Saccharomyces cerevisiae S288C: one gene and its partners. Changing the gene in region 2 together with the main gene of any one other region gives a genetic interaction. Each region holds a gene or a part of one and is shown on either strand. Other genes may lie near its edges.

What was found.
Region 1: mutations in BCK1 (region 2) and PIN4 together harm fitness more than expected from each alone (negative genetic interaction), as found in Saccharomyces cerevisiae (5 studies listed by BioGRID, with this or other methods).
Region 3: mutations in BCK1 (region 2) and ALG6 together harm fitness more than expected from each alone (negative genetic interaction), as found in Saccharomyces cerevisiae (5 studies listed by BioGRID).
Region 4: mutations in BCK1 (region 2) and CHS5 together harm fitness more than expected from each alone (negative genetic interaction), as found in Saccharomyces cerevisiae (7 studies listed by BioGRID, with this or other methods).

What each region holds. Positions count from the first base shown.
Region 1 is NC_001134.8:121,062-126,682, reverse strand, and holds PIN4 (Pin4p), read left to right. Parts: upstream 1-1,923; coding exon 1,924-3,930; downstream 3,931-5,621. Other genes in the region: alpha-soluble NSF attachment protein SEC17, read right to left, coding at 564-1,412, 1,529-1,558; SAS3 (histone acetyltransferase), read left to right, coding at 4,809-5,621. UniProt on the Saccharomyces cerevisiae protein: Involved in normal G2/M phase transition of the mitotic cell cycle. In association with RAD53, also involved in checkpoint control in response to DNA damage.
Region 2 is NC_001142.9:245,329-253,259, reverse strand, and holds BCK1 (mitogen-activated protein kinase kinase kinase BCK1), read right to left. Parts: upstream 6,006-7,931; coding exon 1,569-6,005; downstream 1-1,568. Other genes in the region: KHA1 (Kha1p), read left to right, coding at 1-1,439; mitochondrial 54S ribosomal protein bL21m MRPL49, read right to left, coding at 6,285-6,770; enoyl-CoA hydratase PHS1, read right to left, coding at 7,016-7,669. UniProt on the Saccharomyces cerevisiae protein: Serine/threonine protein kinase involved in a signal transduction pathway that plays a role in yeast cell morphogenesis and cell growth. This pathway seems to start by SMP3; then involve the kinase PKC1 that may act on this kinase.
Region 3 is NC_001147.6:327,136-332,545, forward strand, and holds ALG6 (dolichyl-P-Glc:Man(9)GlcNAc(2)-PP-dolichol alpha-1,3-glucosyltransferase), read left to right. Parts: upstream 1-2,281; coding exon 2,282-3,916; downstream 3,917-5,410. Other genes in the region: exosome nuclease subunit RRP6, read left to right, coding at 1-1,898; putative subtilisin-like protease YSP3, read left to right, coding at 4,320-5,410. UniProt on the Saccharomyces cerevisiae protein: Dolichyl pyrophosphate Man9GlcNAc2 alpha-1,3-glucosyltransferase that operates in the biosynthetic pathway of dolichol-linked oligosaccharides, the glycan precursors employed in protein asparagine (N)-glycosylation.
Region 4 is NC_001144.5:785,979-791,600, forward strand, and holds CHS5 (Chs5p), read left to right. Parts: upstream 1-1,685; coding exon 1,686-3,701; downstream 3,702-5,622. Other genes in the region: nicotinamide-nucleotide adenylyltransferase NMA1, read left to right, coding at 1-140; REC102 (Rec102p), read left to right, coding at 464-637, 735-1,355; JIP3 (Jip3p), read right to left, coding at 4,691-5,068; MID2 (Mid2p), read left to right, coding at 4,698-5,622. UniProt on the Saccharomyces cerevisiae protein: Component of the CHS5/6 complex which mediates export of specific cargo proteins, including chitin synthase CHS3. Also involved in targeting FUS1 to sites of polarized growth.

The DNA of each region.
Region 1 (5,621 bases), on a different chromosome or scaffold from region 2:
ATATTGGGCTGTAATGTGTTGAGTTTAGTAATAGATAAAGTAGGACAGAGTTCTGTCTTTGTTTATCTATGGGGTTCAGAGTGATAAGGGGCAGGATAAGGAAGTTAAAAAAAAAAAGGTTACGTTATATAACGAAAGAAAAGAAACGAGCGAAGTGCCAACTATAGCCCAATATCAAGAATGCAAGTCAGCAAAGTACAGTAATCGTATGAAGATACGCGATGCGTAATATCCCTCAAGGGCTCCGGATCAGAAAAGCTAAGGGAAGATCCTTACATTACACGGCGTGCGACAGACTCGAACCACAGCTAACTTCTCGTGAAAAGATGGCTTCAACTTCGCTCTTGCAATAACTTTGAAACACACGAACAAAGGTTTATTGCGCTTGATTAACGTTGGAAGTATATGATACTAATACTACTTTGTTCTCTAAGTCATCGCTATATGTTTATCTCGAGGAAAAGGTGCACGGCGGTACACAATTACTTCGCCGTTTCGGGTAAAACAAGTGTTACATTTATAATATATATGTATATATGTATGTGCGCGTAAGTATATGCCGTTCATAACAAATCATCTTCTTGTTGCTGGATGGACTCCTTAATTTTATTCAAAATGGTAATTTTCCATTTATCTAGTCTCATAAAATTGTCAAACTCCTTACAGTGTTCGCTTAGCTGCTCGCTATCACCTTCATTAACAGCATCGATTAAACTTTTCAAGAAATTTGACTCCCTTGAATCCGCAAAATTCGGATCTTCACTTTGACCCTCTTGTAAAGTTCTTGCAGCAGCGACTGCATCAGTAGCAGCTAGCTGACAAAGCCCTTTTTTTAGGAAGTAATCCTTCAAACTCCATTGGCTCAATCTATTGCCCATGCTGCTCTTGATCAACTTCGAATATATATCACTTGCTTCAATATATTGACCGTCAAGAGCCTTTAGATCTGCGCATTTGATAAAACACTTATTCGATAATGCTACCGACTGGTCTTGGGCATACCACTCACCAGCGAGCTCATAGCAATCTATAGCTTTTGCATAGTCATGCAAATCATTTTCTAGAATTTCTCCAAGCTCAAACTTGAAATTAGCACCTCTCCGGAACTGCCCCCTATGAGTAAAAATTTGAATAGCATTTTCTAATGAATCCACGGCGTTCACAGAGTTTCCACCGCTTTTAAAGCATTTATAAGCCTCTACGTAGGTATTTCCTGCTTCGTCTTCATTACCAGCCTTTTTCTGATAGTCAGCAGCTTTCAAAAACGAGTCTCCTGCCAAGTTTAACTCTTTTCTTAGACGGTAAATGGTGGCTGCTTGGACACAAAGATCAGCAGCCTCCTCAAACTTGTATGAATCAGAACCGCTAAACAATTTCATGAAACCCGATGAAGGAACACCCTTCTTCTCAGCCTTAACACAACGGGAAATATCAATTCCCGTATTTCAATGTTAGTAATTTGCCTTCGTAAATTACGGAATCACATAGCTTTCATTTTGTTCCTTTGATATATTTCCCTACTACATACTCTTTTCAATAACTCTACAGGGTCTGACATTTTTAACTTTCAGGTTAATGATGGTGTTCTTACTATATTCTCGAGTCGTACAGAAGTTAGTTCAGATAAACTGCTTCGGTGCTGCCCACTTCTTATCATTACTTCAACTTTACCTTCCCTATACCTGTGTGTCCTTATTAATTCAAGTTAATCCGAGGTAATAGATTAGGGTAACCTTCAATGATGTCACGAAACACGGATGCTGCAACTTTGCGATTTTTTCCTGGAAAAGAATAACAATTAAAGGCAGCCTTTCAGCTGAGATTACCAGCAGGTCTTTGGAGATTAGCGCAAGAAGAAGTGTGATATAGTACTCATAGAGGCAGGCTACAGACTAGGGAAAGCGTGTTCAACAACAATAAGAAATGGAGACCAGTTCTTTTGAGAATGCTCCTCCTGCAGCCATCAATGATGCTCAGGATAATAATATAAATACGGAGACTAATGACCAGGAAACAAATCAGCAATCTATCGAAACTAGAGATGCAATTGACAAAGAAAACGGTGTGCAAACGGAAACTGGTGAGAACTCTGCAAAAAATGCCGAACAAAACGTTTCTTCTACAAATTTGAATAATGCCCCCACCAATGGTGCTTTGGACGATGATGTTATCCCAAATGCTATTGTTATTAAAAACATTCCGTTTGCTATTAAAAAAGAGCAATTGTTAGACATTATTGAAGAAATGGATCTTCCCCTTCCTTATGCCTTCAATTACCACTTTGATAACGGTATTTTCAGAGGACTAGCCTTTGCGAATTTCACCACTCCTGAAGAAACTACTCAAGTGATAACTTCTTTGAATGGAAAGGAAATCAGCGGGAGGAAATTGAAAGTGGAATATAAAAAAATGCTTCCCCAAGCTGAAAGAGAAAGAATCGAGAGGGAGAAGAGAGAGAAAAGAGGACAATTAGAAGAACAACACAGATCGTCATCTAATCTTTCTTTGGATTCTTTATCTAAAATGAGTGGAAGCGGAAACAATAATACTTCTAACAATCAATTATTCTCGACTCTAATGAACGGCATTAATGCTAATAGCATGATGAACAGTCCAATGAATAATACCATTAACAATAACAGTTCTAATAACAACAATAGTGGTAACATCATTCTGAACCAACCTTCACTTTCTGCCCAACATACTTCTTCATCGTTGTACCAAACAAACGTTAATAATCAAGCCCAGATGTCCACTGAGAGATTTTATGCGCCTTTACCATCAACTTCCACTTTGCCTCTCCCACCCCAACAACTGGACTTCAATGACCCTGACACTTTGGAAATTTATTCCCAATTATTGTTATTTAAGGATAGAGAAAAGTATTATTACGAGTTGGCTTATCCCATGGGTATATCCGCTTCCCACAAGAGAATTATCAATGTTTTGTGCTCGTACTTAGGGCTAGTAGAAGTATATGATCCAAGATTTATTATTATCAGAAGAAAGATTCTGGATCATGCTAATTTACAATCTCATTTGCAACAACAAGGTCAAATGACATCTGCTCATCCTTTGCAGCCAAACTCCACTGGCGGCTCCATGAATAGGTCACAATCTTATACAAGTTTGTTACAGGCCCATGCAGCAGCTGCAGCGAATAGTATTAGCAATCAGGCCGTTAACAATTCTTCCAACAGCAATACTATTAACAGTAATAACGGTAACGGTAACAATGTCATCATTAATAACAATAGCGCCAGCTCAACACCAAAAATTTCTTCACAGGGACAATTCTCCATGCAACCAACACTAACCTCACCTAAAATGAACATACACCATAGTTCTCAATACAATTCCGCAGACCAACCGCAACAACCTCAACCACAAACACAGCAAAATGTTCAGTCAGCTGCGCAACAACAACAATCTTTTTTAAGACAACAAGCTACTTTAACACCATCCTCAAGAATTCCATCCGGTTATTCTGCCAACCATTATCAAATCAATTCCGTTAATCCCTTACTGAGAAATTCTCAAATTTCACCTCCAAATTCACAAATCCCAATCAACAGCCAAACCCTATCCCAAGCGCAACCACCAGCACAGTCCCAAACTCAACAACGGGTACCAGTGGCATACCAAAATGCTTCATTGTCTTCCCAGCAGTTGTACAACCTTAACGGCCCATCTTCAGCAAACTCACAGTCCCAACTGCTTCCACAGCACACAAATGGCTCAGTACATTCTAATTTCTCATATCAGTCTTATCACGATGAGTCCATGTTGTCCGCACACAATTTGAATAGTGCCGACTTGATCTATAAATCTTTGAGTCACTCTGGACTAGATGATGGCTTGGAACAGGGCTTGAATCGTTCTTTAAGCGGACTGGATTTACAAAACCAAAACAAGAAGAATCTATGGTAATATATACTTCCATTATTCTATGATTATAGAGTTTGTTTGGTATTTGTATATCGCACGATACAAGTAATGAGGGGTGCTTACACAAGATAAAAGATAAAAAAATATATATATATAATAAAAACCATCAAAAACACCATTGAAAAAAAATATAAAAAAAAAAAAAAATAACCGAATATGAATATGAAATTAATGATCATGATGAAGTTAATTTTTACTGAGAAACGTCACCTAATGTCGATGAAACGATGATAATGAATGAATGATGAGGCTACTTTAAGTAACGCAATGTAATCAAGCCAAAATTATCCCTCTTTTTTTTTTTTCCCTCTTTTGAGATTTTATTTTTAACCTACTACTTACTTTTTTTTTTTGAACGTTCTTTTCCCACATACTTTTATATATGGTATTTATATGTACGATGTTTAATCACAGAGATGTTTCTACCTTACTCGATATTGTTTTTGCATTAATTGATATCTTGCTCACTGCATCATTGGCGGTATTTGTAGTATATAGAAAGTCGGGTAACAATAATTTATTGACATTTCTTTGTTTACAATGATCAGAGAAGAGCAGAAAGTTTCATAGTCAAACGTTCAGGCCAATTGAACAAGAAATTATTCGTTTTTTTAGTCGTTGAGTGTTCAACTGACATGCTATTTTGGTGGTTCTTGATTAATTGGGGGCTTCATTGTTTGAAATAAAGAGTCGGGAAAATAGCACAGAAACAAAGCATATTAAAAGAGGCAAAAGAAGAAAGAACGAATATAAAAGGTAAAAAAGGAAAAGCATTGCTATTCTTTTCTCATAGGTGTTATTCATACCGCCCTCTCTCTTCTTCCTTCTTCATTAATTAGTCTCCGTATAATTTGCAGATAATGTCATTAACAGCAAACGACGAATCGCCAAAACCCAAAAAAAATGCATTATTGAAAAACTTAGAGATCGATGATCTGATACATTCTCAATTTGTCAGAAGCGATACAAATGGACATAGAACTACAAGACGACTATTCAACTCCGATGCCAGTATATCACATCGAATAAGAGGAAGTGTTCGGTCTGATAAAGGCCTTAATAAAATAAAAAAAGGGTTGATTTCCCAGCAGTCCAAACTTGCGTCAGAAAATTCTTCTCAAAATATCGTTAATAGGGACAATAAGATGGGAGCAGTAAGTTTCCCCATTATTGAACCTAATATTGAAGTCAGCGAGGAGTTGAAGGTTAGAATTAAGTATGATTCTATCAAATTTTTCAATTTTGAAAGACTAATATCTAAATCTTCAGTCATAGCACCTTTAGTTAACAAAAATATAACATCATCCGGTCCTCTAATCGGGTTTCAAAGAAGAGTTAACAGGTTAAAGCAAACATGGGATCTAGCAACCGAAAACATGGAGTACCCATATTCTTCTGATAATACGCCATTCAGGGATAACGATTCTTGGCAATGGTACGTACCATACGGCGGAACAATAAAAAAAATGAAAGATTTCAGTACAAAAAGAACTTTACCCACCTGGGAAGATAAAATAAAGTTTCTTACATTTTTAGAAAACTCTAAGTCTGCAACGTACATTAATGGTAACGTATCACTTTGCAATCATAATGAAACCGATCAAGAAAACGAAGATAGGAAAAAAAGGAAAGGGAAAGTACCAAGAATCAAAAATAAAGTGTGGTTTTCCCAG
Region 2 (7,931 bases):
GTTTGAATGCGGGCATTATCAGTAGAAAAATATTTGGTATGTTTGTGTTGATGGCATTAGTTTCTACTTTTGTCACTACTCCTCTGACTCAGCTTGTTTACCCAGATTCATACCGGGATGGTGTTCGCAAATCCTTATCTACACCTGCAGAAGATGATGGTGCAGCAGATGGTCTCGATTCTGAGGGTGTGGACAAGACTGAAATTAACACTCAACTTAATTCATTGGCAGATGTTAGCAAATATAGAATTGGTGAACTGACCACGGTGATAAACACTACAGAAGCGATCTCTCCATCTCTAAAGCTGCTAAATTACCTGTCTTTAGGGGTATCTCCCAAGCCTAAGAATAATAAACATAAGAACGAAACCTCCTTGAGCAGAATGACAACAGCTACTGATTCCACATTGAAATCTAACACATTCAAAATAAAAAAGATGGTTCATATCTGGTCTAAAAGCGTTGACGATGTGGATACCAATTTAAGTGTTATAGATGAAAAATTGACCCCGTTTGAGGGAGTCGGTGCATTGAGGGCCATTCATTTACGATTGCTCACTGAACGGACAACTGATCTGCTGCAATCATCTTCTCTATATAATGATGATCCCCACTTTACCGCAAATACAGATTCACTATTACAAATTTTTGATATATTTTCAAACCTGAGCAAAATACCATTTTCAAGTGAAGTCATATTTTCTACAATGCGTGAAAAGGCAGCTAATATAGCGACGATGAAAATGGATTCCACAGATCTGATCTTATTGCCATTAAAAGGGGCCTCGTATGAGTATAGAGGGAGCCCAGTCTTCATTGATGAAAAATACGCAAACTTTGATCACATTTATTCTCATCTCCTAGGTCTGAATGAACTATCATCTACTTTCTTCAAGTCTATTTTCCAGTCACTCAAGGCAAATTTTGCCGTTCAAATTTCAAATACCTATGGCAGATTAAATGCTGATCGCTTTAAGAGGAAACGGTTCAATTTATTACTTCCAAAACCATACCTGACACAATCCGATTATCTTGGACTATATCTTCTCTTATTGATATGCTATAGAGATGGCTATAATAATGATAATGCATCCTGTAGTATATTTATTAACAGCAAGAATATTGATTTCGCAAAAGATTTGTCAACTGCATTTGCTGAGCATGACTGGCTAAACGAATCTACCATTAAAATTGTGGATATCCCCTTTGAAACGAAAGTTCCAGAAGAAGCAATTGAAAAGCCGTCCTTTATAGAGACTGTGCTTGATGTTGGTTTATCAGATACTGCTTTAGCTGATATAGAGGAGACTACCTTTATTATTGGAGAGGACCTTCCTGATGAAAGTGAGCCCTTCAGCGAAGAGGTGAGGACTGTAATATTTGAAGGGTCGAATCGTCGTTTTGACACCCTTATTGTGCACCATTTTTCGTCTGAATAAGTATCAGCAGAAATTTTTTAATTTTCTTTGTTCTTAATTTTCAGTCATTCCGTCATTCCGTCATCTATGTTTATTGTTCTATATTATTACGTATGCATAAATATCTTAAGTATAGATCGATCCTAATAGCTATTCAGTTTTATTCTCCTGAGAGGTTATCCTTAATTTTGAAGAGTTTAACTTATCATTTGACTTTATAAACTTCGCGAGTCTGGTAGATTTGAAATTGAATGTTTCATTTACTTCACTAAAAGGATGAGAAAGAAGCTCGTTAGCGGTTGGCCTTTTCTCTGGATTTATCTCGAAGCATGCGTCCAGAAAATTTCGTCCGATTTGCGATATCAATGGTAAAGTGTCCTCAGGAATTGGTGGTGCCGATTTTGACTTTCCAATTTTGAACATGGCTGCGACGACTTCTAAGTTGGACCACGGGCGCTTACCAGCAAACATTTCCAGAACGATGCATCCCAGAGACCATATATCAACTTTTGCACTGTAGCCTTGCTTTGTATCAACCATTTCAGGAGCCATCCAGAAGACTGTTCCTCGCATGGTCATATCCGAATTAGAGTATATGTCCTTTGATTTTCTTGAAATTCCGAAGTCACTGATTTTGCAGATACCATCTTGATCCAAAAGTAAGTTGTCTGCCTTCATATCCCTGTGGAGAATACCTTTCGAGTGTAGGTATGCCAATCCTTTTAATACTTGTGTTGTTAAATGTTTGATCAACGGTTCATCGAATCTTCCATACATTCTAATCAAGGATCCCACGGAGCCACCAGCAACATATTCTAAAAACAAACTGTAAATATTGTTTTTATTCTCAAAACCTAAGTATTGAACAATATTAAGATGATCTAAATCTTTTAACGTGGACACTTCAGATCTTAATGCTTCCACGGTACTTAGAATGGCTTCATTTTGTGAGCTATACTTGGGGACCTCAACCTGCTTAACGGCCATCATCTCACCTGTAGTAACGTTTAAACATAAATAAACAGCACCGAAAGATCCCTTCCCTATCATTTCACCCTTCATCCAGGCGAATTCCTTATACTCACCTTTCGAATTTTTGGCTTTATTAATTGACACCATATGGTTTTCGGTCACTTCGACCATTCTTGTACCCCACATTTTGGTGTTCTGTCTTTTTAGTTTTACAGAGTTTTTTCTTGCTAAACTAGCTTCATGTGCAATGGTTCTTATGGTTTTTGTTCTTTTAGGTGTCTTAGCTTGATTCAATGGTTTATTTTTACCGTTAAGTCCATCCTGTATGAACTCGTATGAGCTATCAGGAGGGACGGGACGGGAAGGAGTGCTTGGCTCAGTTCTCGATGAAGCCACATTCTTTGGTGAAAGTAGGCTGTCTAAGGATTTCGGAGATGTTGGTGAAGCTATTCCTTCAGTGATTGGCTTATCTAAGTTAGCCCTTGGGAAGAATTTCTCTAAATTTTGATAAACGACCTCCGGAGATGGTCTAAAGGTCATCTTTCTCTCCATTTTGTCCTGCGTTTGAGAATCATAGAATATTTCGTCAGAATGCGTAGAACTGTTATCGCTTTTCTCATCCTTTTTGTTTTCATTATTAGTCTCAGGAGCTGTTTTTTTCTTGGACCAGATAATGTCATCGGATGAACTAGAATCGTCATCACTATCATCGCTGTCAAACATCGGCGGAGCATCCGCGAATGTTATGTCATTCTCTTCAAATATATCGGCCGCAGATGTCGACGAAACAACTCTTTTTGAGTTACCTCTTTTTAACAATGGTGAAGGAGAATAGAAAATTGAATTTGAAGTCGATACAGTTGAATTTGAGCGATTCACTTTCTGTTTCATTTTCAAAGATGGGGAAGTACTCGTCGAGTCCTGGTCTGTTTTCAACCTACGCATAACATCGTTTGCACCCTTATAAGGTTGCGGTATCAAAACATGAGTCGAAGCAGGAGTATATGAGGAAGTAAGCGAATCAGGAGACGAGCTGCTAGCTTCTATAGGAGATGATAATAATTGTGGCGGCAATGGTTTCGATCTTTTGCTTCTCGAAATTTTTGTACTTGCCCTCACTAGGCGGATCGGTTTATTCTGTTTAGAAGTTGATAAGGTCCTCTGAGGAGAAGTATTTGCGGGAGGCTTGGGAGCTTCTCTTTTTGGTGCCAGTTCTGGTTTTGTATAAGGCGATTCCCTACGATGATTGAAATCAATTTCAGTCCCCTCATCTTTTCTTAGCACTTGAAAACTACTCTTGCTTTCATTTTCTGTTATGGGGGTAGGAATATTTAATTTACTTCCTTTATCTGGTAGGTTGAGTTCTAATTTTGGACTTGTTTTAAAAACCATTTTTGGTGCATTTTCCTCATGAGAAAGAACTTCTTTAATATTCCAATAATTCAATTCTTCAGTTGGATTAGTATTGGAAACTCTGTCATAGTAATAACTCGGGGTTTGGGGGTACCTGCGCCCACTTCCTGATGCATGTTCATCAAATGATGTTATGTCAGAAGACGAAGTGACAATGGAAACATCATCTGTCGATGCTATCAGACTGCTTGTTCCGGACCTCATTGAACTCTTACTTTTCACCGATTTTAAAGGAACATTGTTTTCTGAGGTGAGAGGAGCAGGTTTCGGTTTTTGTTGAAGCTTCATTTGGTCTTTGATATAAATTTTTCCAGAAGTGTTCAAAAACAAGCTTTTTTTCAAAAATTCCAAAGTATCATCTGGAATTGCAGCACCAATATCGCAATCAAAGTCTGTCATATGGAAAGTGACATTTTTGTGATTGATTCCCAATTTTGTGAGAGCAGATTCTTTGAAACTGGATAATTTTGCTACACTTTTTAAGTTTAGCGGAACAAAACTAACATTATCTTTGGTAACCAGAATATATTTATTCTCACTATCATTTAACCCTGTTTTCTTCAGAGGATAAAATTTTTGGTCCAGTAAAAAGTTCTTTACACTATACTTTTGATTATTTACCGGCACTGGAACTGTCTTGTCTGGATTAATACAATCAGGATACGTTTCTTTAAAAGACGCCGTGGTTGAAGAAATTTTAGGTGTATCTTCTGTGCTGATGACCTCCAAACTTCTGTTTGCAGTTTTGGGTATTGGCGGTGGTGATGAAGATGGAGATGGTATATTTACATCTGCCGTTTGTACGGTTAAGGTAGCAGTACTCGAATTCGATTTTAAGGATGGAGTTTCTTGAGACGTTACATAAGCTACCGTATTTGGGCTAGGAACCCCTATTTGGCTCTTTCTTTTGAATTTATTCCATAAATTACCTTTATCATCCGAAGTGGGTAGTGAAGATTGTTTTAAAGGTGAAGACACATTAGTTTCATAGTGTTTAGATTTTCCTTTAGCTAAATTTTCACTAGACAGACTATGACCTTGTGGATTAGGCTTTGTTGGAGCTTCCTCGCCTATTCCACTACCAAAAAGGGAATTTAATAATGACGACTCAGATGAACTACTTTTGTGATGTCTTCTAAATATGCTAGGATACGAAGGAGATGCAGGTGGGCTCGCCGATTTGGTAAGTGTACTGTTAGATTCAATAATTGAGTGCGGCCGAGCCGGTATACTTAACTTGATGTTTGAAGGTGATTTTGCTGAGGAAGCATTGCTCGATGATGAGCCTCTTAGGGATATAAAACTTCTTCTGTATAGTGAACTTGCGCTTTTGGTTTTTTGGTGTGTTGAAGTAGAATGTAAAAAATTCTTTTCATCGGTCTTGGAAGGGCCCGATTTTGTTGGGCTCAATGCAGATTCTGACGTTGATCTAGAATTTGAAATATCCTCTTGCGATTTACTATTTTTTAATTTTGATTTGATCGATTCGCTGGAAGACCTGGAACTTTTAAGTTTGCTAGCGCTCTTCTGACGAATATGGCTATTTGTTACGTTCTTGGTCATTGTTTTTTTCAATAACTGCTGAAACCTGGTATATGAAGCAGTTTTAGTCTGCGGCAAATACTTTTCATAAACAGCGAAATTATCATATGCAAGCAACTTTATAAATCTGTGACCAAACAATTGATGCTTTTTGAAAAACAATATCCAGGATTCTGGAAAATCATGAAATTTAAACCATGAGGTGACGCGATGCATTGTCCATTCATCAGGGTCTGTAGGATCCCACGATAGAATTAGCTTGTCAAAGGACAAACTATTTACGCTATTGCCACCGGAGGATTTCCTCGAATCAGAGAGGCTACTAGGTCCATTGTCATTTTTATAAGAACTGTTTGTAAAGCTCGTTGGGTTTTCAAGCGTTCCAGCTGAGATGTGGTCATCTGTCGTCCAATTAAAGGATTGTTCGATAACTGGCGTGCTTTCGTAAAACTGAGAAGAGGTAGAGTTGGGGGTTAGGTTGGGAAATTGGCTTCTAATATCATCATAAATGCTTTTGCGAGATGTTGCACGAGGGCTTTTGCTTGAACTTTTGGTTGATGCTACCGAACTAGTCGGCTGATGGCCGAATTTCACAGATGAGTTCGAATCAGACCTAGAATGTGTATGTGCTGTCCCCGCTATTTTCCTCAAAAAGGGCATTTGGAGGTGGAGTTGAACTATTTTAATACTATATTTAGTGTTTCGTACTAATGGTCACCCCTCTGCCCTTGTTTTTTTATTTTTTTTTTTGGTGAATCCATTACCTGATTTTATTATTATGCTTACTTTTAATTAACTTGTTGAAATTTCATAGCATTATAACTTAGAAGACGCGTCGGTCTGGAATTGAATGGCCATTGGGGCCGAAGAAAGTGTGTCAAATTTTATTGTTATTTACATGATTTTATACGTATGCGTATATGTACATATCCCTAAAATTCAGTTCATACTCAGTTCTGATATTCTTAAGATTGTCAAATCACCTTTACTCTTTGCATGACGGACCCGTCTATTTCTTCTCTTCGTTACCTCCCTAGTTTGGAAAGCCCTTTTAGTTTTCCCAACAACGGTTGCTTTTAAAGTATACAGAGAAGTATTGATTGGATGACCAACTAGCTTGTAGTTTCTAGATCCTAAAGTTGTTACATCGGTCATGTTTAAAATGTCACCCACCTCCGCTTGCTTCAATTTGAATGGAAGAATAACTCTGTCGCCCTCGGTCACCAAATATGGACGATTATGAATCTTGAATATTGCATATAGTTCATTTGATAATTTTAGTGGAGTTGTATCTGTCTTAGTAGTCTTAGCTTTTGTACTACTGATGCTTGAGGAAGTAGCTAAATTTCTGAATGGATGACTGGTAAATGGCCTATAAATAGGTGTGATTCTGGCCACTGGCCATATGAATTTCAGTTGTAGCATGAAAATTAGAGCAACACACTTAAGATTGTCTCGGCACAGTTGTTTCAGTAGGCTGTGAAGGTCGACTCCGAGTGAGCTTCGACATCTTTCTAAGAGTTCTCTAATTCGGCTACCCTTCGCAATTTTGCTCAATATAAAGCCCGTGCACCGCAAGATACTAGTGATTATGGTTAAGAGCGTTGAAGCCATTTCAATGTGAAGGCTAATATTCTTATAAAAAATACAGAAGAATTTATCTAAAGAATTCAAATTAGTTTCTTCCCGAAAGAGGATCTTAAACTTTTCATGACTTTCTTTCTCTGTGCTACCATGTGTAGGAAGAGCATTGGGAAGCCTGGGATATAAGCGAGCATGGCCGCTATTAAAATTCTTTTGTAAAGTAAAGAATACTGAGATTCAGCTGCATTTAAAGCACAGTAAATAATGCGTAGTTCGCTGGCAACACCAGTGGGGTACAAAATCCAGAACAAATTATATCTTAATAGAATTAAGATCTTTGGTGCGCCATTCTTGAATACCAACATGAAAAAATAATACAAGTATCTGACGATCTCAGTTATAGACCATGCCAGTAATAATGATATGTAAACAACTGATTGAACACCACTTGTGTTTGGCAACAATTGGAAGATGCCGAGGACAACTAGTAGTCTTGAAGACACTTGTGCAACAGTGGTCAGCAATGGGGAACGTACAACTCCTAAAAATGAGTTTATGATCTCGATTATAGCACCACATTGAACAAGGGTAGCGACATTTTTAGTTTGGTAGAAGAATGCTGGCTGTCCAACTTTTGGGTACAAGGAGATGACCAAGTAAAGCAAATAAGACCAACCAACAGCAGAAAGCAAATTATAAAGGGGTAAGAAGGACAATGGTGACGCAAGTTTTTTTGACATATTGTAGAAATTGCTTGGAGTTGTGCTTCTTCTTGTGTGATGATGAGTTATTTTGTATTTTGGATGCTCTTGATGGACCAATTCTGAGTTCGAATAAATTCAACAGAATTTCGAAAAAAAGTACACGAAAAAGAAAACGCCTTTTTCCTTTTTGAATACTAAACAATCGAAGTAAGTTATCAAACGGGCAAAGTCGCAATAAGGCACTAGACAGCATATGTAGTCCAAACGATTGTGAGTTAGGAAATACATGTGTTATTGT
Region 3 (5,410 bases), on a different chromosome or scaffold from region 2:
CAATAAACTCAAAGTCAAGAGGTTCCGATCTTCAGTATTTAGGCGAATTTTCAGGAAAGAATTTTTCTCCCACCAAAAGAGTCGAAAAACCTCAGTTGAAATTTAAAAGTCCAATTGATAACAGCGAAAGTCATCCGTTCATACCTTTATTGAAGGAAAAACCAAATGCTTTGAAGCCACTCTCTGAGAGTTTGAGGTTGGTTGATGATGATGAAAATAACCCCAGTCACTACCCCCATCCTTATGAATATGAGATTGATCATCAAGAGTATAGTCCAGAAATTCTCCAAATTAGAGAGGAGATTCCCTCAAAATCCTGGGATGATTCGGTACCAATTTGGGTAGATACAAGTACAGAACTCGAATCAATGTTGGAGGACTTGAAAAATACGAAAGAGATTGCCGTTGATCTTGAGCATCACGATTATAGGTCATACTATGGTATTGTTTGCCTCATGCAAATTAGTACAAGGGAAAGGGATTATTTAGTTGATACTCTAAAACTTCGCGAAAATTTACATATTCTGAACGAAGTGTTTACGAACCCTTCAATTGTGAAAGTTTTTCACGGTGCATTCATGGATATTATTTGGCTTCAGCGAGATTTAGGTTTGTATGTCGTTGGTCTCTTCGATACTTACCATGCGTCTAAAGCAATCGGTCTTCCTAGACATAGTTTGGCCTATCTTTTGGAGAATTTTGCCAATTTTAAAACTTCAAAGAAATATCAGTTGGCTGACTGGCGTATAAGACCGCTTTCAAAACCCATGACGGCATATGCTAGAGCAGATACTCACTTTTTACTAAATATATATGACCAGTTGAGAAACAAACTTATCGAGTCTAATAAGTTAGCAGGTGTTCTTTATGAATCAAGAAATGTCGCAAAAAGAAGGTTTGAATATTCAAAGTACAGACCACTGACACCTTCTTCAGAAGTTTATTCTCCAATCGAAAAAGAGAGTCCTTGGAAAATATTGATGTATCAGTACAACATACCACCTGAGAGGGAAGTATTAGTAAGAGAGCTATACCAATGGAGAGATCTTATTGCAAGAAGAGACGATGAATCGCCACGATTTGTTATGCCAAACCAGTTATTGGCTGCACTTGTCGCATATACACCTACTGATGTCATAGGTGTTGTTTCTTTGACCAATGGCGTAACTGAACATGTCCGCCAGAATGCAAAACTATTAGCTAATTTGATAAGAGATGCATTACGAAACATCAAGAACACCAATGAGGAAGCTACTCCCATTCCATCTTCCGAGACCAAAGCAGACGGAATATTGTTGGAGACTATAAGTGTTCCTCAAATCCGTGATGTTATGGAAAGGTTTTCGGTGTTGTGCAACAGCAATATTTCCAAGAGCCGAGCCAAGCCTGTCACTAATTCTTCTATTCTGTTGGGTAAGATTTTACCACGTGAGGAGCATGATATTGCATATAGCAAAGACGGCTTGCCAAATAAAGTGAAGACGGAAGATATCAGGATCCGAGCACAAAATTTCAAGTCTGCCTTAGCAAACTTGGAGGATATCATATTCGAAATAGAGAAACCTCTCGTTGTTCCTGTCAAGCTAGAGGAGATTAAGACAGTAGACCCTGCGAGCGCACCTAATCACTCGCCTGAGATTGATAATCTTGATGATCTTGTTGTTTTAAAGAAGAAAAACATTCAAAAGAAACAACCAGCAAAGGAAAAAGGTGTAACGGAAAAAGATGCTGTGGATTATTCAAAAATTCCGAATATCTTATCTAATAAGCCTGGCCAAAATAATAGACAACAAAAGAAAAGGAGATTCGACCCATCATCTAGCGATAGTAATGGACCAAGGGCAGCTAAAAAGAGGAGGCCTGCCGCCAAAGGTAAGAATCTGTCATTTAAAAGGTGATTATGTAAAACAAGCGTATTTTTTTATTTATAAATTATGGTAATTTTCATTTAAGACCTCTAAATTCATCTAATCGAATATCTGTGTCATGGAGTTATGGCTCCCCCATGCACACCATTTTCTCTTTTTTTGTTTCTGTGTTTCCCTTCATCTCCTTTATTATGAAAAGTACAAGTTTTATATAATTTCAACGTCGGAGGTTATCCGGAAATCTATAGTTGAATTTTTGCAGGATTATACTTCGCTCGAATATTGTGCGTGTTAAATACTCAGCGAGAACAATACTTCCAAGTTAGAAAAGGGATTTGCTCATGTTAAAGCAATGGCACTCCGAATGGACGGTGTCAGGAATTCTTTTCTTCACATCAGGCTTCGCATAGAAAATGGCCATTGGCAAAAGGTTACTGGTGAACAAACCAGCAGAAGAATCATTTTATGCTTCTCCAATGTATGATTTTTTGTATCCGTTTAGGCCAGTGGGGAACCAATGGCTGCCAGAATATATTATCTTTGTATGTGCTGTAATACTGAGGTGCACAATTGGACTTGGTCCATATTCTGGGAAAGGCAGTCCACCGCTGTACGGCGATTTTGAGGCTCAGAGACATTGGATGGAAATTACGCAACATTTACCGCTTTCTAAGTGGTACTGGTATGATTTGCAATACTGGGGATTGGACTATCCACCATTAACAGCATTTCATTCGTACCTTCTGGGCCTAATTGGATCTTTTTTCAATCCATCTTGGTTTGCACTAGAAAAGTCACGTGGCTTTGAATCCCCCGATAATGGCCTGAAAACATATATGCGTTCTACTGTCATCATTAGCGACATATTGTTTTACTTTCCTGCAGTAATATACTTTACTAAGTGGCTTGGTAGATATCGAAACCAGTCGCCCATAGGACAATCTATTGCGGCATCAGCGATTTTGTTCCAACCTTCATTAATGCTCATTGACCATGGGCACTTTCAATATAATTCAGTCATGCTTGGCCTTACTGCTTATGCCATAAATAACTTATTAGATGAGTATTATGCTATGGCGGCCGTTTGTTTTGTCCTATCCATTTGTTTTAAACAAATGGCATTGTATTATGCACCGATTTTTTTTGCTTATCTATTAAGTCGATCATTGCTGTTCCCCAAATTTAACATAGCTAGATTGACGGTTATTGCGTTTGCAACACTCGCAACTTTTGCTATAATATTTGCGCCATTATATTTCTTGGGAGGAGGATTAAAGAATATTCACCAATGTATTCACAGGATATTCCCTTTTGCCAGGGGCATCTTCGAAGACAAGGTTGCTAACTTCTGGTGCGTTACGAACGTGTTTGTAAAATACAAGGAAAGATTCACTATACAACAACTCCAGCTATATTCATTGATTGCCACCGTGATTGGTTTCTTACCAGCCATGATAATGACATTACTTCATCCCAAAAAGCATCTTCTCCCATACGTGTTAATCGCATGTTCGATGTCCTTTTTTCTTTTTAGCTTTCAAGTACATGAGAAAACTATCCTCATCCCACTTTTGCCTATTACACTACTCTACTCCTCTACTGATTGGAATGTTCTATCTCTTGTAAGTTGGATAAACAATGTGGCTTTGTTTACGCTATGGCCTTTGTTGAAAAAGGACGGTCTTCATTTACAGTATGCCGTATCTTTCTTACTAAGCAATTGGCTGATTGGAAATTTCAGTTTTATTACACCAAGGTTCTTGCCAAAATCTTTAACTCCTGGCCCTTCTATCAGCAGCATCAATAGCGACTATAGAAGAAGAAGCTTACTGCCATATAATGTGGTTTGGAAAAGTTTTATCATAGGAACGTATATTGCTATGGGCTTTTATCATTTCTTAGATCAATTTGTAGCACCTCCATCGAAATATCCAGACTTGTGGGTGTTGTTGAACTGTGCTGTTGGGTTCATTTGCTTTAGCATATTTTGGCTATGGTCTTATTACAAGATATTCACTTCCGGTAGCAAATCCATGAAGGACTTGTAGTTACATTTTAACTTATATAACTGTACAATGTCAGTCAGACGCAACTGATATAAAAGATGTGCTCTACAAGTAAAGATTATTTCAACTCTTAAAAATATTTGAAAAATGCACTATAATTTGATCTAAATAAGGTACAGATAATGGTAAGGCAAAACTACTACATTTGGCAGTGAGTATTGTTAGCTTTTCCGCTTATTTTCTCTCCTGGAGTAGCCACCGTTCGCGTCTTCCGAGCAATGGCGAATCTCGAATCTCGGAAGGGCGGCTACTGATAACAGGCACTCATATATATATTATTAGATAAGAGTTTTTTTTGACTGAGTCCTTATAACACGTAACTTATCAAGTTGCTATATTGTAAGTTCAGGTTTCCAATCTGTTCAACCACTTTATATCTTTAAACATGAAATTCTCTACCATCTTACCTATACTTTGGGCAAATTGCTGTCTTTGTATGATCATCCCTGATTTCGACGGGATAGTTCGTTTTATTGAGAATATTGATGGTACTCGCAGTGTAAGAGCAGGAGAAGGTTTGGGACAGCATGATCCTGGAAATTTTCACACTGAACATCAACATGTCGCTCATAAAACAGAGTTTCTTCCTTATCGGTATGTCATAGTCTTTAATGAAGATATTTCCCTCCAGCAGATTCAATCGCATATGCAAGTGGTACAGAAGGATCATAGTACCTCAGTAGGTAAGCTTACAGAAAATGACGCTTTTTGGAGGGTAATTTCTTCTTCAGTATCATCTAAATCTCAATTTGGAGGTATTGATAATTTTTTTGACATAAATGGTCTATTTCGAGGTTATACTGGCTATTTCACTGATGAAATCATTAAAATAATCTCCCAGGACCCAATCATAAAGTTCGTAGAGCAAGAAACTACAGTAAAAATATCTAATTCGTCATTGCAGGAAGAAGCGCCTTGGGGTTTACATAGAGTTTCGCACAGGGAGAAACCAAAATATGGACAAGATTTGGAATATTTATATGAAGATGCCGCCGGAAAAGGTGTCACATCATATGTACTCGACACAGGAATTGATACCGAGCACGAGGACTTTGAAGGGCGTGCTGAGTGGGGAGCCGTTATACCAGCAAACGATGAAGCTTCTGATTTGAATGGTCATGGAACTCACTGTGCGGGGATTATCGGATCGAAGCACTTTGGTGTAGCCAAAAATACAAAAATAGTAGCTGTCAAAGTTCTTCGTTCTAATGGGGAAGGGACGGTTTCAGATGTTATTAAAGGTATAGAGTATGTTACTAAGGAGCATATAGAATCGTCGAAGAAAAAGAATAAAGAATTCAAAGGATCGACTGCCAATCTTTCTTTGGGAAGTAGCAAATCGCTAGCTATGGAAATGGCTGTAAATGCAGCTGTAGATAGCGGTGTCCATTTTGCTATTGCGGCAGGAAATGAGGATGAAGATGCTTGTCTCAGTTCACCAGCAGGAGCTGAAAAAAGTATTACGGTCGGTGCTTC
Region 4 (5,622 bases), on a different chromosome or scaffold from region 2:
CGAAAGTTCGTCTATTTATCAGACGCGCCATGTCTGTACAATATTTGTTACCTAATTCGGTCATCAGGTATATCCAAGAACATAGACTATATGTGGACCAAACCGAACCTGTTAAGCAAGTTCTTGGAAACAAAGAATGATTTGCCGTCCGGAATTGCTTCGTTCTTTCTTTCATCTTTCTCTTTACAATTTCCAATTTTCCCCTACAGGAATTAATTGGAGGGTACAAGCGAGTAGAAATGTGACATATGACTTACCTATCTGTGTTTTAGTATAGTTTTTTTTTCTGTAGTATAATTCACTTTTACACTAATTTTTTCGCCTTTTTCTCTTAAAGAGCTAATTTCTATAACCTTCAGCGGTTATACCAAATATAAAAAATGGAAGGAAAACAAACAGTAAGAAATAAGCGCAACAGCACGTTAGTTCACCATTGGATTCCAACATTTCAAAATTTAATCTAATGGCAAGAGATATCACATTTTTGACCGTATTTTTAGAAAGTTGTGGCGCTGTAAATAATGATGAGGCAGGAAAATTGTTATCTGCTTGGACTTCAACCGTACGCATTGAGGGACCGGAATCAACCGACTCTAATTCATTATATATTCCACTGCTACCACCTGGAATGTTGAAAGTATGTTTCTCCTAGCAAAATTAAAACCCATCCGTGAATGAAGCGTTACTAACTATAATAACTGGTAGCTTTGTCACTCGTACCAGGAAAAGTGAAGATTAAACTGAATTTTAAAATGAACGATCGATTAGTTACGGAAGAGCAAGAGTTGTTTACAAAATTGCGCGAGATTGTAGGTTCAAGTATTCGCTTTTGGGAGGAACAACTGTTTTATCAAGTTCAAGATGTAAGCACCATAGAAAACCACGTCATTCTCAGTTTAAAATGTACAATTTTAACGGATGCTCAGATAAGTACGTTCATAAGCAAACCCAGAGAGCTTCATACGCATGCCAAAGGATATCCTGAAATCTATTACCTTTCCGAGTTATCAACAACTGTCAATTTTTTTTCTAAAGAGGGAAACTATGTCGAAATAAGCCAGGTTATTCCTCATTTTAATGAATATTTTTCCTCTTTAATAGTGTCTCAATTGGAATTTGAATACCCGATGGTCTTCTCCATGATTTCAAGGCTCCGATTGAAGTGGCAACAAAGTTCGCTCGCTCCGATATCCTACGCCCTAACGAGCAATTCAGTACTTCTTCCAATAATGCTTAACATGATTGCCCAAGACAAATCTTCAACAACCGCGTATCAAATTCTGTGTCGAAGAAGAGGTCCTCCAATTCAGAATTTTCAAATTTTTTCCTTACCGGCTGTAACGTACAATAAGTAGCATGCATAAAATATAATTTAATCAAATACTTTTGGGCAATTAAAATTTTAGTTAACAATAGTTATGCAATGCGCTTTATGTTCATATGATACCGTTTATAAGCTATTGCCATATCCTTATCTTATTGCTTCCAGTAGCCTCGAGTCGACCACTAAAAAGATGTCACTTAAGACGGAAATTATGTAGCTGCACTTCTTTTTTAACAAGTTCGGTCGGCCCTTCAAGTTCTCCTTTCTAAAGCCTCATTATTTATTGCGTAGATGCTAAATGTTATCGCGGTTTAGCTTGCATGTTACGTTTCCGTTTTAGAACCTGGTCGAGTAGCGAATAATGTCTTCAGTTGATGTACTGTTAACAGTAGGTAAGTTGGATGCCTCATTGGCGTTACTGACTACTCAGGATCATCATGTTATTGAGTTTCCTACAGTATTATTACCAGAAAATGTTAAAGCTGGATCTATCATAAAAATGCAAGTTTCACAAAATTTAGAGGAGGAAAAAAAACAAAGGAATCATTTTAAGAGTATACAAGCCAAAATTTTGGAGAAGTATGGTACCCATAAACCGGAGAGCCCAGTTTTGAAAATTGTTAACGTTACGCAAACGAGCTGTGTTCTAGCATGGGATCCATTGAAACTTGGCTCAGCAAAATTGAAATCACTGATCCTTTATAGGAAGGGAATACGTTCAATGGTAATTCCAAATCCATTCAAAGTGACTACCACGAAAATATCCGGTCTTTCCGTTGATACGCCATACGAATTTCAATTGAAACTGATAACCACGTCAGGAACATTATGGTCTGAAAAGGTTATATTGCGTACACATAAGATGACTGACATGTCTGGTATCACTGTATGTTTGGGTCCATTGGATCCATTGAAAGAAATTTCAGACTTACAGATATCCCAATGTTTGTCTCACATCGGGGCGAGACCTTTACAACGTCATGTTGCGATAGATACTACGCATTTTGTCTGTAACGATCTAGACAATGAAGAAAGCAATGAAGAGCTTATAAGGGCAAAACATAACAACATACCAATTGTCAGACCGGAATGGGTGAGAGCTTGTGAGGTTGAGAAAAGAATCGTTGGTGTTAGAGGATTTTACTTAGATGCAGATCAAAGTATACTGAAAAACTACACATTCCCACCAGTTAATGAGGAAGAACTTTCGTACTCAAAGGAGAATGAGCCGGTAGCCGAAGTAGCGGATGAAAATAAGATGCCCGAGGACACAACAGATGTCGAACAGGTTGCATCACCTAATGACAATGAGAGTAATCCTTCAGAAGCTAAGGAACAAGGAGAAAAGAGTGGACATGAAACTGCCCCAGTAAGTCCTGTAGAAGATCCATTGCATGCTTCGACGGCTTTGGAGAATGAAACCACCATCGAAACCGTCAACCCCTCCGTAAGAAGTTTGAAAAGCGAACCTGTTGGTACTCCCAATATAGAGGAAAACAAAGCGGACTCTTCCGCAGAAGCCGTGGTAGAAGAACCGAATGAAGCTGTGGCTGAAAGTTCTCCAAATGAAGAAGCAACGGGACAGAAAAGTGAGGATACCGATACACATTCTAACGAACAAGCTGATAATGGATTTGTACAGACTGAAGAAGTAGCTGAAAACAACATAACCACAGAAAGTGCAGGGGAAAATAACGAACCTGCAGATGATGCAGCAATGGAATTTGGACGTCCAGAAGCTGAAATTGAAACTCCAGAAGTAAATGAGTCTATAGAAGATGCCAATGAACCTGCGGAGGATTCCAATGAACCTGTGGAGGATTCCAACAAACCTGTGAAGGATTCCAACAAACCTGTGGAGGATTCCAACAAACCTGTGGAGGATTCCAACAAACCTGTGGAGGATTCCAACAAACCTGTGGAGGATGCCAATGAACCTGTGGAAGATACCAGTGAACCTGTGGAGGATGCCGGTGAACCCGTACAAGAAACCAACGAGTTTACTACCGACATTGCCTCTCCAAGACATCAAGAAGAAGATATAGAACTTGAAGCCGAACCTAAAGATGCTACCGAAAGTGTTGCAGTCGAGCCATCCAATGAAGATGTAAAACCAGAAGAAAAAGGTTCAGAGGCAGAAGACGATATCAACAACGTTTCCAAGGAGGCTGCCTCTGGTGAGAGTACTACCCACCAAAAAACTGAGGCCTCTGCTTCTCTTGAAAGCAGTGCCGTCACGGAAGAACAAGAGACAACGGAAGCCGAAGTAAATACAGATGACGTTTTGTCCACTAAAGAAGCTAAAAAAAATACTGGCAACAGCAACAGTAATAAGAAGAAGAATAAGAAGAATAAGAAGAAAGGGAAAAAGAAATGATTAATGGATGCCTTCAATGAGTTCCACGACGCACGTTTATTTTTTCGACTGAGAATCCCTCAGCAAATATAATCTATTTTTTATATATCTGTGTATATGTAAGCATGTATAACTAGTTACAAATATGATAACTGCTTTGGCGATCACTTCATTTTCTTGAGAGGGGTACTCAGTAGCCGCCAAGCACGAAATGTCCGTTATTAAAAATTGGGGAGTGAATCTTAAAAGCCCGAAAAGGAAATTCAAAATCTGTCTATTTATAGGCCGTCGCGCTCTACGAAAACGCGAAATTATTCAAACGGAAAACGGAAAAAAATCTAAAAAAAGAAATTAATTGAGAGATCTCACGGAAATGCCGCGAGGAATGTTTCTCGAGGCTGAGCGGCGTGGTCTGTGCAAAAAAATGGCAATTTTTTTGTAGGAGTTTGCATTGGGCCATTCAGAAGGAGCACCGTTAGATGGGATGGTAAATGAATTTGCTGTTTCAGATTTGAATCAATCTTTACCCGTTATTTTTGCCGTTTTGCTTTCATAATCTGCAAATTAACAAAGTCATAAAGAACATAAAGACATCACCCCAGTTTTTACACTCTTTTTTCCTGTGTTTGGTTTAGCACAACTTTCCAATAACCAAGTTGGTTTCAGATCATCCCCATATTATTTTCTAGTTTCATTTACTTACCAAACTCACCATTCAAGGCTTTCAAATTAAGTTACGAGTACAGTGGACCATTTTTTTCTGATTCTTCATATTTTCCGTTATAAGTCTTATAAGGAAGGTATACATTTATATTGCGAATTTGAAAAATAATTTAAAGCTGACTTTGCGTTTTAGGTAGGCTAGAAAAGAATACAACTATCCCTAAACACATTCTAGATTCACGAAGACGCCTCTGCCTCAAAGACATACTATATTTTTACTCTCGTTGAACAAATAGTACCATTATTTCGCTACTTTCGTTGAAGATTGGACATATAAAATACGCAAATCATAGTATGTTGTCTTTCACAACCAAGAATAGTTTCCGCTTATTACTTTTAATACTGTCATGCATATCGACGATACGCGCACAATTTTTCGTGCAATCATCATCTTCGAATTCTTCAGCAGTATCTACTGCACGTTCTTCCGTAAGTAGAGTTAGTTCTTCAAGTTCCATTTTGTCATCCAGTATGGTTTCTTCCTCAAGTGCTGACTCATCTTCCCTTACTTCATCGACATCAAGTAGGTCCCTCGTGTCACATACGAGTTCGTCTACCAGCATTGCCTCCATATCGTTCACATCATTCAGTTTCTCATCAGATTCAAGCACCAGCAGCTCTTCCTCTGCTTCTTCAGATTCTTCATCCTCCTCATCCTTTTCCATCTCTTCGACATCCGCAACTTCTGAATCATCGACGTCTTCTACGCAAACGTCAACATCATCTTCATCCTCACTGTCGTCAACGCCGTCCTCTTCATCATCCCCATCAACAATCACTTCTGCACCTTCAACCTCCTCCACACCATCCACTACTGCCTATAATCAAGGAAGCACTATCACCAGTATTATTAACGGTAAGACGATTCTCTCAAATCATTATACTACCGTTACGTACACACCATCAGCAACCGCTGATTCAAGCAATAAATCCAAAAGTTCGGGTCTTTCTAAAAAAAATAGAAACATCGTCATTGGTTGTGTGGTTGGTATTGGTGTACCACTGATTCTGGTGATACTGGCTTTAATTTACATGTTTTGTATCCAATCATCAAGGACGGACTTTATTGACTCAGATGGTAAGGTCGTTACGGCATATAGAGCTAACAAATTTACGAAATGGTGGTATATGCTTTTGGGTAAGAAAGTTAGTGATGAATACCACTCCGATTCACCATTAGGTGGTAGTGCATCGTCCGCAGGTGGTTTAGACCTAGATG